Pelodiscus sinensis: one gene and its partners. The protein of the gene in region 3 interacts with the protein of the main gene of each other region in a biochemical or structural test. Links are inferred from orthologs where the notes say so. Each region holds a gene or a part of one and is shown on either strand. Other genes may lie near its edges.

Evidence for each region.
Region 1: the proteins of MPDZ (region 3) and CYSLTR2 interact in a test that uses a peptide from one of them, tested with the Homo sapiens proteins (2 studies listed by IntAct, with this or other methods). The link is inferred for Pelodiscus sinensis from reciprocal best matches to the Homo sapiens genes MPDZ and CYSLTR2.
Region 2: the proteins of MPDZ (region 3) and 5-hydroxytryptamine receptor 2A form a complex in vitro, tested with the Homo sapiens proteins (3 studies listed by BioGRID and IntAct, with this or other methods). The link is inferred for Pelodiscus sinensis from reciprocal best matches to the Homo sapiens genes MPDZ and HTR2C.

The regions. Positions count from the first base shown.
Region 1 is NC_134711.1:289,121,165-289,124,913, reverse strand, and holds the start of CYSLTR2 (cysteinyl leukotriene receptor 2), read right to left. Parts: upstream 2,652-3,749; 5' UTR 2,288-2,651; intron 1-2,287. UniProt on the Homo sapiens protein: Receptor for cysteinyl leukotrienes. The response is mediated via a G-protein that activates a phosphatidylinositol-calcium second messenger system.
Region 2 is NW_027465900.1:173,069-176,817, forward strand, and holds the start of 5-hydroxytryptamine receptor 2A, read left to right. Parts: upstream 1-984; 5' UTR 985-2,375; intron 2,376-3,749. UniProt on the Homo sapiens protein: G-protein coupled receptor for 5-hydroxytryptamine (serotonin).
Region 3 is NC_134716.1:23,692,365-23,696,113, forward strand, and holds the start of MPDZ (multiple PDZ domain protein), read left to right. Parts: upstream 1-1,433; 5' UTR 1,434-1,756; intron 1,757-3,276; 5' UTR 3,277-3,357; intron 3,358-3,749. UniProt on the Homo sapiens protein: Member of the NMDAR signaling complex that may play a role in control of AMPAR potentiation and synaptic plasticity in excitatory synapses. Promotes clustering of HT2RC at the cell surface.

The DNA of each region.
Region 1 (3,749 bases), on a different chromosome or scaffold from region 3:
GTTCAAATAAGAAAGTTACCAGAGAGAGGGAAATGTACTATACATTTGAATCAAATGTTTGGGTACTAATAAATATCAAGCAGTGAAGTTGATAACCTTTTTCCTGAAAGAATCAGAATAGGTTTTCCTAAAATTGACATAAACCAGTAAACAGGAGTAAAATCCAAATAACGGCTTTGCTGATCAAAAATAAAACCTCACTGAATCAGAATGGAGGGAAGAACCCCTTTGACTATATATACACCTCACAGTCACATTACTCAGATACTTATTTAGTTGTACTCATATACACCTCTATATGTACTATCATAATTTGTACTTTCAGTGAAATCATTAAACATGCTTATTAAGTTCACAAGATGCTCTAACTTCCTAGTTGACCATCTGCTCAGGAATAGGTTTAACTGTAACTCTGTAGTACTCCAAAGAGGTTGCACAGAGCCTTTTCATGCATGCAGTGACTGGACTGTCCGTGTCTAATTCAGGAACACAGATACTACTCCCAGAGATCATTACTAGCCACTCCAGTCTCCCATTAGGTCAGGAATACCACCTTTCTTGGCCCTTACACCAGACAACAAACCCAGCCTATTATAGAGGGGAAGTGCACTTAAAATACAATTAAAAGGGAACAAGCATTAGTCTGCCCAGATGTCCCTTAAGGAATTAGGGCCAAGAATTCCTCCTGAGACTCCTGCTGATGCGTTGTACCTCAATTCTCTTCCCACTTCCAACCACAGACTACGGGTTAAGACTCACCATCTGGCCTTATAAAGATTGATGTTTATGCACAGTTAGTGATCTATTCAGAATCAGTCATAAAGCGGCAATGTTTATTTTTCCTCAACACAGATGGTGAAATGTGCATGTGCAGTGAAAATGAACAGGCATTTAATTGAGCAGTACACTTCATTTGTTGCTTTCATTTTTAGCTGTTTTAGTTTAACGGAACTCAAAACTTCAATAGTTATTATTATTCAACAGGATGAGCAATTTGTGGTTTAAAATATAATAAAGCCTTCTGTTACCTTTAAATTCAGTTTAATTTAAATTGTGATGACCTAAATTGATCCACTATCCAAAAACATTTCTTCCAAAAGCCAACATGGAATATTTTAGCCCCTTCCTATTCCTGTATCACACTGTAGTGGTATGTGACTCACCACCACTGTGCCTCCTGGTGGCAAGTATGGGAATTAGCTTAATCCAGTTTGAGGGTACATCTACACTGCATGCTTATTTCATAATAAGCTATTCTGGAAGAAATACTCCAAAATAGCTTATTTTGAAACAGCACGGTTACACTAAAGGAAAGCCTCAAAATTAGTCCGAAGTAGGCTTCCCTAATGTGGACATGCTACCTCGATTTAGAACCCCAGGAGACACTAGGGAGTAATTATTTTGAATGGTCATGTGGAGGGGCTATTTCGAAATAGCAGCAGTGGATCATCCACACTAATGCTATTCTGAAATAGCTATTTCGGAATAGGTGTTATTCTTCATGGAATGAGGTTTATAGAAGTAGGAATAAGCTGTCTGTTAGTTCAAATTTATTTTGAAATAACAGAATTCATGTGTATTGTTATTTCATTGTTATAACATTGTTATTTCAGTATAACATCCATTATTCTGAAATAATGCTGCTGTGTAGAGGTATCCTGAGTGTGCTGTGTTTGGCTGGTCTCATCTGTTGTTCATTCACCTGTCTCCACCATCTGGTTCTGGATGTCCCTTAGACCATAGCATCCACTTCATAACACTACCCTCTGGCTATGCCCCCAACGCTGTTCTCCCCCTTTCTGGAGGAATCTGTAGTCTTCCTGGCTCTAAACCTGCCTCCGTGGCCTACTGCAGTCCCAAAGTCTACCTCTTTGCCTCACAGAGGCTCTGATTGGCTATCTGCCATCCTCACCCTGATTTGCTCCCCACAGGCCCTTTCTGACTGTCTGTGGGTTTGTAGAGTCTCCCTAAGGCTCTTCTTTTGGCCTACTGCACCACTGCAAACACCTATTGCCTTTTTCATCAAACCTGTGGGAAGTGTGTACTCAAATAATTAATGTAAGATTCTTGTGAAACTTGTGATTAAGGTTACTTTACAGTGGGTGATAAACTAACTCCAGGATGAAACACATAGGACACAAACACGGGAGTTAAACACTTTTTCATCTAAGTTAGGGCCACAGGGAACGTGACTTCTGAATTGGGAGCAAAGGAAATGGCTTAATAAGTCTAGCTCTGAATTTTGAATGTACTGATTAAGAGCAGTGTCACATGGTGTGCCACTCACCATTAGACTGGTGTCTTCTGGTCATGCTGGGAATTAGGTCATCAGGTCAACACTATGGTCGCATACCACCACTCAGTCTTTTGCTCAGGCTTGCTGCTTCTCTCTCATTCTTGGAATGATGACATCCTCTTTGTGATTCAGCCCTCCAGCTAGATCACTCAGCTTTTTCCTTTCCAAATGACTATATAAAGGGGTATATCAAAGTCTTTCCTTCATCCGTCACAAGCAGTCTTGTTGTTCGCTGCTTCTAGTGCCACTCCTTCCCTTGCAGGCAGGGAAATCCAGGCCCACCTTCTATTCTGGCTTCCAGTCCAGAGACCCTATATCCACAAGTTCTGGGCTTTCCTCTCCTCGCCCTAACTGCTCCTTCCCGACACTGCTTCCTGTCCTCCTGGTTCCTCACCTTTCTCTGGGAGTAACTGCCACAAACCCTCCTTCAGGGAGTGACTGCAGCCTACGCAGCTCAGAAGTCTCTAAACACTCCTCCCTCTTCCTGGAGGGTGATTGCCTTCCCAGAAGCAGCCCCTGTTGTCAACTCCCTGGCTTTCTAGGCCCTACCTATTCCTGCATAACTGAATCTGCTTACAGTCGTCTGCTCTTTGTTTTTTTCATATCATCTCCCTAGTTTTAGAGATATGTAAACATTGCCTTAATATAGAAATAGATAGTTCTGGATTCAATCACCTGATGTTTGTCGGGGGCAGGTGAGCAAAGCCCACAGGTAAGTGCTGAATGTGCGGGACTGGGAGATGGGTTGGAAATGGGGGGGACTACGGCCTATAATGGCAAGGAGAAAGGAGGGTCAGGGCACAACAGGGAGGCAAGATCAAATCAGTATCTTAGATGCCTATATACAAATGCGAGAAGTATGGGTAATAAGCAGGAAGAACTGGAATTGCTAACCAATAAATACAACTATGATATCATTGGTATTACAGAAACCTGGTGGGATGGGACGCATGATTGGAATATTGGTATGGAAGGGTACGGCTTGCTCAGGAAGGACAGACAGGGAAAAAAGGGAGGAGGGGTTGCCTTGTATATTAAAAATGTACACACTTGGACTGAAGTGGAGATGAACGTAGGAGATAGCTGTGTAGAGAGTCTCTGGGTTAAGCTAAAAGGGGTAAAAAACGAGGGTGATATCATGCTAGGAGTCTACTACAGGCCACCTAGCCAGGTGGAAGAGGTGGATGAGGCCTTTTTTAAACAATTAACAAAACTATCCAAAGCCCAAGATTTGGTGGTGATGGGGGACTTCAACTATCCAGACATATGTTGGGAAACTAACACAGCGAGGCACAGGCTATCCAATAAGTTTCTGGACTGCATTGGAGACAACTTTCTGTTTCAGAAGGTTGAAAAAGCTACCAGAGGAGAAGCTGTTCTGGATTTGGTTTTAACAAATAGGGAGGAACTAGTTGAGAACTTGAAAGTGGAAGACAGAATAGGGGACAGTGAT
Region 2 (3,749 bases), on a different chromosome or scaffold from region 3:
AATGCCTGAAGTCCTGGCTTCCACTAAGTTCTCTTGCTGCTGGAGGATGCATAACTGAGTAAGTACGGACACAGGAAATAGTTCTGTAGAGTCCCAACTCCTGAAGCCATGCCAGGGTCCTTCCTTCCTTTAGGGGCTCAGGATATTAAGAGGCGGGTGATTGACTAATCGTGTGGTTGATACAATTTTATGATTGGTCGATAAGGGAAGGTGCTCTGTCCTGGCCCCCACAGGTCCAGGAGCTAACCCCACTGCGGCTCTGCCGTTTAAATGTAGCAGGAGCTGGGTGCGCAGGCAGGAGGCAGCTGGGACCTGACCTCCCCCCCCCCAGGAACAGGAGCTGCTTCCCAGAGCAGCATCTCCTACCCACTCCCCACTGCTGCCTCTGGTAGAGGAGGTGGCACAGCAGAGACGGTGTCTGTTTGCTGTGGGGCAGTGGGGTGAGGGGAGGAGCAAGTACTCGGCTACTTGCTTACATCCCTATTTCACCATCTGTTTGAAATCCAATCCTTCTTTTAAAGCCGTGTCCCTCAGTGTTTCCAGACGTTGGTGCCCCTTTGAGAGTCACTTGCCTTGCGTACTGCCAGGGTGCACCTGACTTAAACACTAGTCGCTTGCACAATCGGTAGTTACAGGTCCCACCTCTGCACTTGAACTCCCGACCAATTGTGTGTGGGGAGTAGGGGGGGTTGGGGGTGTGTGTGGGGGGCAGAGGGGGTCTGTTTTCTAAAGATTTTCTTCTTTGTGTGAAAAATGCAGATAAGCAAAGGACACTGACCCTGCCAGAGAAGCCATGGGAAAACATTGGATATTTTTTTTCTCTTTTCCTTTCTACGTGGTCTTGGGTGTCACTTATTACAAGTGTAGAGTGGCTGGTGGTGCTACAAGAGAGCCTAGATGGCAAGTATATTAACCTTAGAGTGAGTAAATCTCTGTTCCCAAGGTAAGCTAACAAGGACTAGTACAGAACCAGCAGGAATTTGCCAGAATCAATCAGGGCAATTAAGCACCTGGAGCCAATTAAGAGGGCTTCTAGACCCAGACTGGCTGAAGAGCTGGGGCCAATTAAAAACCAGTTGAGACTGATCAAAAGAGCTGTCTGCAGTTGGCTCAGCTTGTGAGGCCCTGAGGGGACAGAAGGGCTGTGGAGGATCTTGGAGGAAGAAGCAGCACACGGGGGTACCAGGAGAAAAGGCCTGAGACAAGGAAGTTGCTGGGGGAGGTGTGGGAAGTAGCCCAGGGGTTTGTAGCTGTCATGCACTGGTGCTGGAGACATTGACAGACAGCTGCTTTTCCAGGGCCCTGGGCTGGAACCTGGAGTTGATGGTGGGGCTGGGTCCCCCCCACCCTCTGACACAGACTCCCCCGTTTCCACTCGGGCCCTGGAGAGGACTGGCTGGAGAAAGAAAGGGGGCTAGGCAGCCCTGTATCACTTGGAGGTTCACTGAGGCTTTGCTGTTTGGTTTCCTGCTGCTCCTCATGCTGAGAGTCCAGCACGCAGCCAGCGCTAGGAATGGTGCCTGGATTGAGGGCTGCTGGGAGCCTCCGAGGCAAGGAAACCCACCCCACCCCCACGCGCAGAGCCCACCAAGGCGAGGCAGGGCAGGGGCGCGATGGAGTTTTCCCAGTGTGACACTGGTTTTGCTGCTTGTTGGTGTTTTGCTCTCCACCGCTGCAGCACTGCGCTTGCTGATGGCCTCCCAGGACACCGTGACTCCAATTCTGCACTTCTTAGTTCCTTGCTCATTCAGAAATCCCATGGACTTCCCGTTCCCGAAGGACCTGGGTCTGTGGTGACCACACCAACCGTCCCCTTACCCAAATGTGTGCTGTTCTTCCCTGTGTAGGACGCATAGATCAGCCAGCGCTAGAAAGCCACAATGGCAAGGAAATCTCTCCGATGGCAATAAGTACTGTGGGGAGCCAATGTATTGCTGGGTTTTTATGCAGAGCTCTTCCACGCCTCTGCTCAATAGTAAAATACAGAAACACGCCTTTTCCTTCGACTCAGATCCCCATCATTGAGACAACAATTTTGCTAAGGTTCTTCTGTCCAGCTACAGGAGAGTTTATTCTCTGGCTCACTGGTGGTTAGAGGAAAAAAGATGGTTGTGATGGGATGTGGGCCTGCAAGGGTTAACCCTGGTTCCCTGGCTGAGGAGGCCCCGCCCCACAGCCCTGCTGGGCATGCTCCAGCTGGAGGCCGGCTATAAAGGCTGGTGGAACAGTCAGTCTGGGCAGGGAGCCACCTGGGAAGAAGGTGCTGTCAGGGCTCCGGGGAAGAGCTGCAGATGGACCAAGCTGTGGAGGCTGGTTGGCGAGGAACGGCCGGAGAAGCCCCCAGGCTGGAGGACAGTGGCGGCGAAGCTGCAACAGTGAGTCTGGTAGGAAGTAGCCCCGGGCGGGGAGTTAGATACCCAGGAGCTGAGCGTATTGTGCTGGGATTCCCACTATGCTAGTGGTGGGGACAGCTCCACCACTGACAGGACCCTGGGCTGGGACCCGGTGCAGAGGGTGGGCGTGGGTCCTCCTACCCCACCCCCTTGACCTCCAGGGCAGCACTGCACTGTTGTTACTGACTCTGGCTGCTAGGCCCTGCTGCCCAGAAGGCAGGGTGGCCACTAGGCCTCACTGCTCTGAGGGAATGGAGTGATGTTATTGACTCTGGCCACTGGACTCTACAGCCCTGCGGGAAGGGACTGTTTTTGACTGTGACCACTAGGCCCGAGTGCCTCACAGAGAGGCTGTGGGGTTATTGCCCTGGGCTGTGGTAGATAATAGTCACGTGGGGGTGGAGCACCCTTTGAGAGGCCTAATGCCCTATCCCTGAGGGGGCCAGGCATGCTCCCCCCCCCCGACAATGATAAAGAAATGGCTCCTTTCCTTTCTTGTAATGTGTCCTGTGTTTACAAAACCTCATAGACAGCTGAGAGGTCACTGTCGCTGCAACAGATCTATAGGGAAAACGTCAGTGCTGAGAAATGACTTAAAATGTGGACACATTGATGGAAAATTCTTCTGGGATGTCGAAGTCATTTTTTATAGTTGTGTCTGATTTATAGCACTTGTACTTTGGGCTTTCACAGGAATCAGTTTTAAAGCCACATTTGATCTACTTTTCTTACCACATTTCAGAAAGGTCAGTCGAGTCAAAATGAATAGCATTTCAGCTCCAGACTGCGTTCTGGTGTTGCATAGCTAGAAACGCCAAAGTTCATCGGGTTCATATTGATCTCATTTTTGTGCTGATTGCATTTAGTGCCTTAAAATTTACATAAGGATCACTTTTTTTAATTAGCGTTCCAATCCCAATGTGACATTAAGAAGATGATTGTTTTTCTGACACTTGTGTGGCTGCCACGGTACATTCTCTGTATTGTGACCTTTCGCAAAGACAGTGCTGGGAGGAGAGTTCAGTCGAGGTGTGAATCTTTCGAAAGACAGGCTAGTTTTGAATATGTTCTCTTGGGTGCTTCTGATCCCTCATATACAGAGGGCTGCACTTCCGCTAAGCGCCCCTGTGGGCCTTGCCGTCAGTCTTGCAAGAGAGCATACTTTGCACGTCCTAGTCACATGTACAGGTGCGCAGTGTAAGGAGGGAAAACCAGTGGTTGTTGATTGTATTTTCCCCATTGAGAACTCCATGATAATAGTGTCTGATTGGGCACTTTCCATCCGTAAGTGCCCAAGGTGCGGTCAGAGTTTGGGTGGCAAACGGGTAGTGACTAATAATGAGCAGTGACTTTTCA
Region 3 (3,749 bases):
CCAAATCAACACAAAAACAAGCAAGTCAACATAGGGTACCAGCCCCTAGTCTACTGCAACATGACGTATTCAGCAGTGTGAGCCAGCCTTCTTTCTGGCACTATGGATGCTACTGCAACAAAGCTGCTGGCATAAACAGGGAACAAGAGGTGATTTCTTGGCATTAGATAGAAAAATGATGACTCTAATGATAGTTACTAAATAAAAAGTGCGTCAGAAAGCGAAGTGCTCAGCAAATATAAATTAATTAGCATTTTTATGTTGAAAATAAATTTCACTCAAATTTCACTTATTCCATGTATTTGTATTTTACTTCAAAGGTGTTTGCACAATACAATATATATGCTTTTCATTATGGTTTTTGGCTATTGTTTTATATTCAAATAAAAACTTTAAAAAATCCCCTTTCCTTTAGTTCTAAAAAAAAAAATCAAGTTTTTTCTTTTCCTTCTCTGTTCAAACCCTGAACAAAAAATATCCATTTCCCTGAACAAACAGCAGTATAATGCTTCTATCTCACCCCCATATCTCCATTTTAGACAGGAAAATCATCCACAGAAAACTGCAGCACACAAGTGGAGCTGCAATAATTTAAGCAGTCTTTCTGGAATTTATAAAAGTGTGGCCTCAGCAAGAGATACAAGATTAGGGAAAAATCAAACATAGGAGTGATCAAATCTATTTGATGGTGGAACTGTCTCTCAAAGGATACAGAGGAAGGAACCACTCAGGACATTTCAAAGGATAGGATGTGAAAAAAGCACTTTTTAAAAATCTGCTAAACTTCCAAGCAAAATGACAGATTAGAAAACACGACTTGTGTCTTTTTTCAGTTGTATACATTTTACAACACTTGGTAGAGTCACAGGCAGTGTTCCCATATGTACACAGACATGTTTGTGCTCTTCTCAGAAGGGGAAGACATTTTAAAAATAGGAAAATGTGGCTGCAAAACTACAATCACTGGTAGGAAAGGAGGCGGCTCAGGAGCAGGTCTAATATCTGAACCAAACTACTATAAAAAGAGTGGAGTGCAAGTTGAGGTCCCTTTAGCGTGGAAAGAGAACAAGATAAGGGCTCTATAGGGAATAATGCTTAACAGCTGGGACCCCGGCGGGTAACAGATCAGATTGGACCGAGTTTTTAAGAGGCCACTAAAGCCCCTCTCTTGCGCAACCCCATAACTGTGTGGAGTGTGTGTATGTGTGCGGGACAGGGGTCTGAACGTGCTAGCTCCGCAACCTCGCTTCCACACGCAAGGTAGCGTGTTGCAGGGGCCAGCCCTCTCCCCTCCCGCAAGAAGACGTGCTGGGGGCGGCCGAGGCCACTTTTTTTTTTTTTTTTGCAACGGTGCTCCCGAGCAGCGCGGCTCCGAGGCGCCCTGCCTAGCAGCAGGCCGGCCGGGCTCAGGGCATAGCAGGGAGCGCGAGGGCCGCCAGTGGGGCCCCTCCTGTTGCTGTTGTCATGGTTCCTTCTGTGCAGCCGATTCCTACTCCCACTTCTGCGGGGCTCGGCTCAAGAGCGCCGGGTAGCTGGGAGGAAGGGGGAGGGGGCGGCTTGGCGTCTGGCCGCCTGATGGCTGGGCCGGATTAAGTTTCATGGTAGCCTCTGCCTGTTTATCCTGCACCTCCTCGCGGGCCGTTACTTGGGGGGGGGGGGGGGGGGGGGAGTCTGCAGAGCCCGGCCAGCAGGGCTGCAAGTGGTCTCCCCCAGCCCAGCCCTGGCTCGGCGGCGAGGCGCCTGGAGCAGCAAGCGGGTAAGCGGAGCGCGGCGGCGAGCCGGGGGGTGCCCGCAGGGTAGCGCTGGCTGCGCCCGGGGAACGTTCTATGGGTGCCCGGGGCTCTGCGCTCAGGGGGCAGAACGGGGGGGGGGGGGGAGGCATTTCCCCTCGCCCTGAAACCGGGTGTAGCCCGATAGTCCCGCTCCCCTGCGCGGGAGGGGCCGGAGCTGTGGCCCCTGGTTTTGCTGGTTGGAGGAGGAGGAGGGGCCCGGGCGCCACAAGGCCTTGCGCTGCGCAGGGGAAGCAGCCGCTCCTGACGGGCTGAGCCTGTTGCTTCTTTGCCGAGCTTTGGGGCGGGCGGCCTGGCTGGCGGGGGTGGGGGAGAAGTTGGGGAATGATGCTCCAGCGCCTGTGAGGGCTGCAGGGCGCGGCCCTACGCGCGGCGAAGGGCTGCCTCCTGGGCGCTGTTGCACCGACGCCGCCGGTGCTGGGCCAGGCGAGACCTCGCTGGAAACAAAAGCCACGTCTCCGCAGGCTACTGCAAGTCGCGGCTGCCGTGGGCATGTTGTAACCCGAGCCGATCGTAGCCCCCTCCCCACCCAGGTCGCCCCGTGGGCTCTGCACGCACAAGCCCTATCTTTGCAGACGATACCGTGTTAATCAACCCCCCCCCCCCCCTTTCAACATGACAAAGCCAGATCTCCAATGCCAGGTGTCAGCGAACATGTTGCCTGGACTAGACAGACGGGGAAATTGCAGGTTATGAGGAGCCTCCTCCGTTCACACCAGCAATTTCACAGCAGGTGTCTTCGCCCTCCTCTCCTCTTCCCCTCCCCGTGCTCTAGGTCTGCTGGGAAGAAGATCACATGTGAATCTGAAAAAAAAAGTGTAAATGATTCTCACTGAAAGTGCGTGGAGGTGAAGAGGAAGGGGGGGTTGCTTTGATTTATGGTGGGGTGGAAGAGCCTAGTAATGTTCAAATCATTCCTCAAATTCGTGTGATTGTTTGTCTTGGAATGACTTGGTTAAAAAAGAGAACCCTTCTCTCCTCCCCCACTCCATTCCCCAGTTTAGTGCTTTTTGCCAGGATGTTTACATGAGAGACTCCATGAAAACTGAAGCTGAAGACTTTGATGGAGTTAAAGTCTCAGAGGGGTATATGTTAGTCTGTACCTTAAAAGCAAGTGGTCGTGTGGCACCTTACAGACTAACAAAAATATGTACATGGTACCATGAGCTTTCGTGGGCAAAACCCATTTCTTCACAAAATGATCTTGAGACATCAAGAGGCCACAAATGGTTGCATTATCTTATAAATCAATTACATTTAGGGGTGGGCAACTTCTGGATTCCAATTTTGATGGAATTTCAGAAATGTTGATCTTAAAAACGTACTTATTTGAATGAACATATAGAGATATTTTTCCAGAGGATTATGAACAAGGGCCAAATTCTGCCGCAGACACATTTACCCAGTGAGAATTGTATAAGATAACAGAAGATAGAATTTAGCCTTGTGTCCTGATAACTTTATTTTGTTTATTATGTTTACCTAGGTTTATATGCTTTTAAACACTTGAGAAGCGGATACTGATGACATAAGTGTGGAATAAACAGTAACACCTTTTGAAGGAAAGGTAACATGTTTCCACGTTTTTTTTTCATATTTCCAGTTCATGAGATGCAGCCATTACTTTGCTGACTGGTCTTGTGATGCATTTCTCCTTCAGTTTTAAAAATAATACATCATTTAGCAGTAGTATATTTGATCCATATTACCCACAACCTGTGGAAAAGAAATTGTTCGTTTTGCTGGGATTTCTTGTAAAGTACGAGGAACGTGAAGGAGAAGAATAGCAAACCTGTTCCATGAAGTTTTGCTTTGCAGCAAGAACAAATCAGGGTCTATTATTGCTATTTATTTGTATTACATAGGAGCCTTAGTCCTGGATTAGGACCCCAAGGTGCTGGATGCTGTACAAACAGAATCAAAAGATGGTACCTGCCCTGGAGAGCTTACAATCTAAGT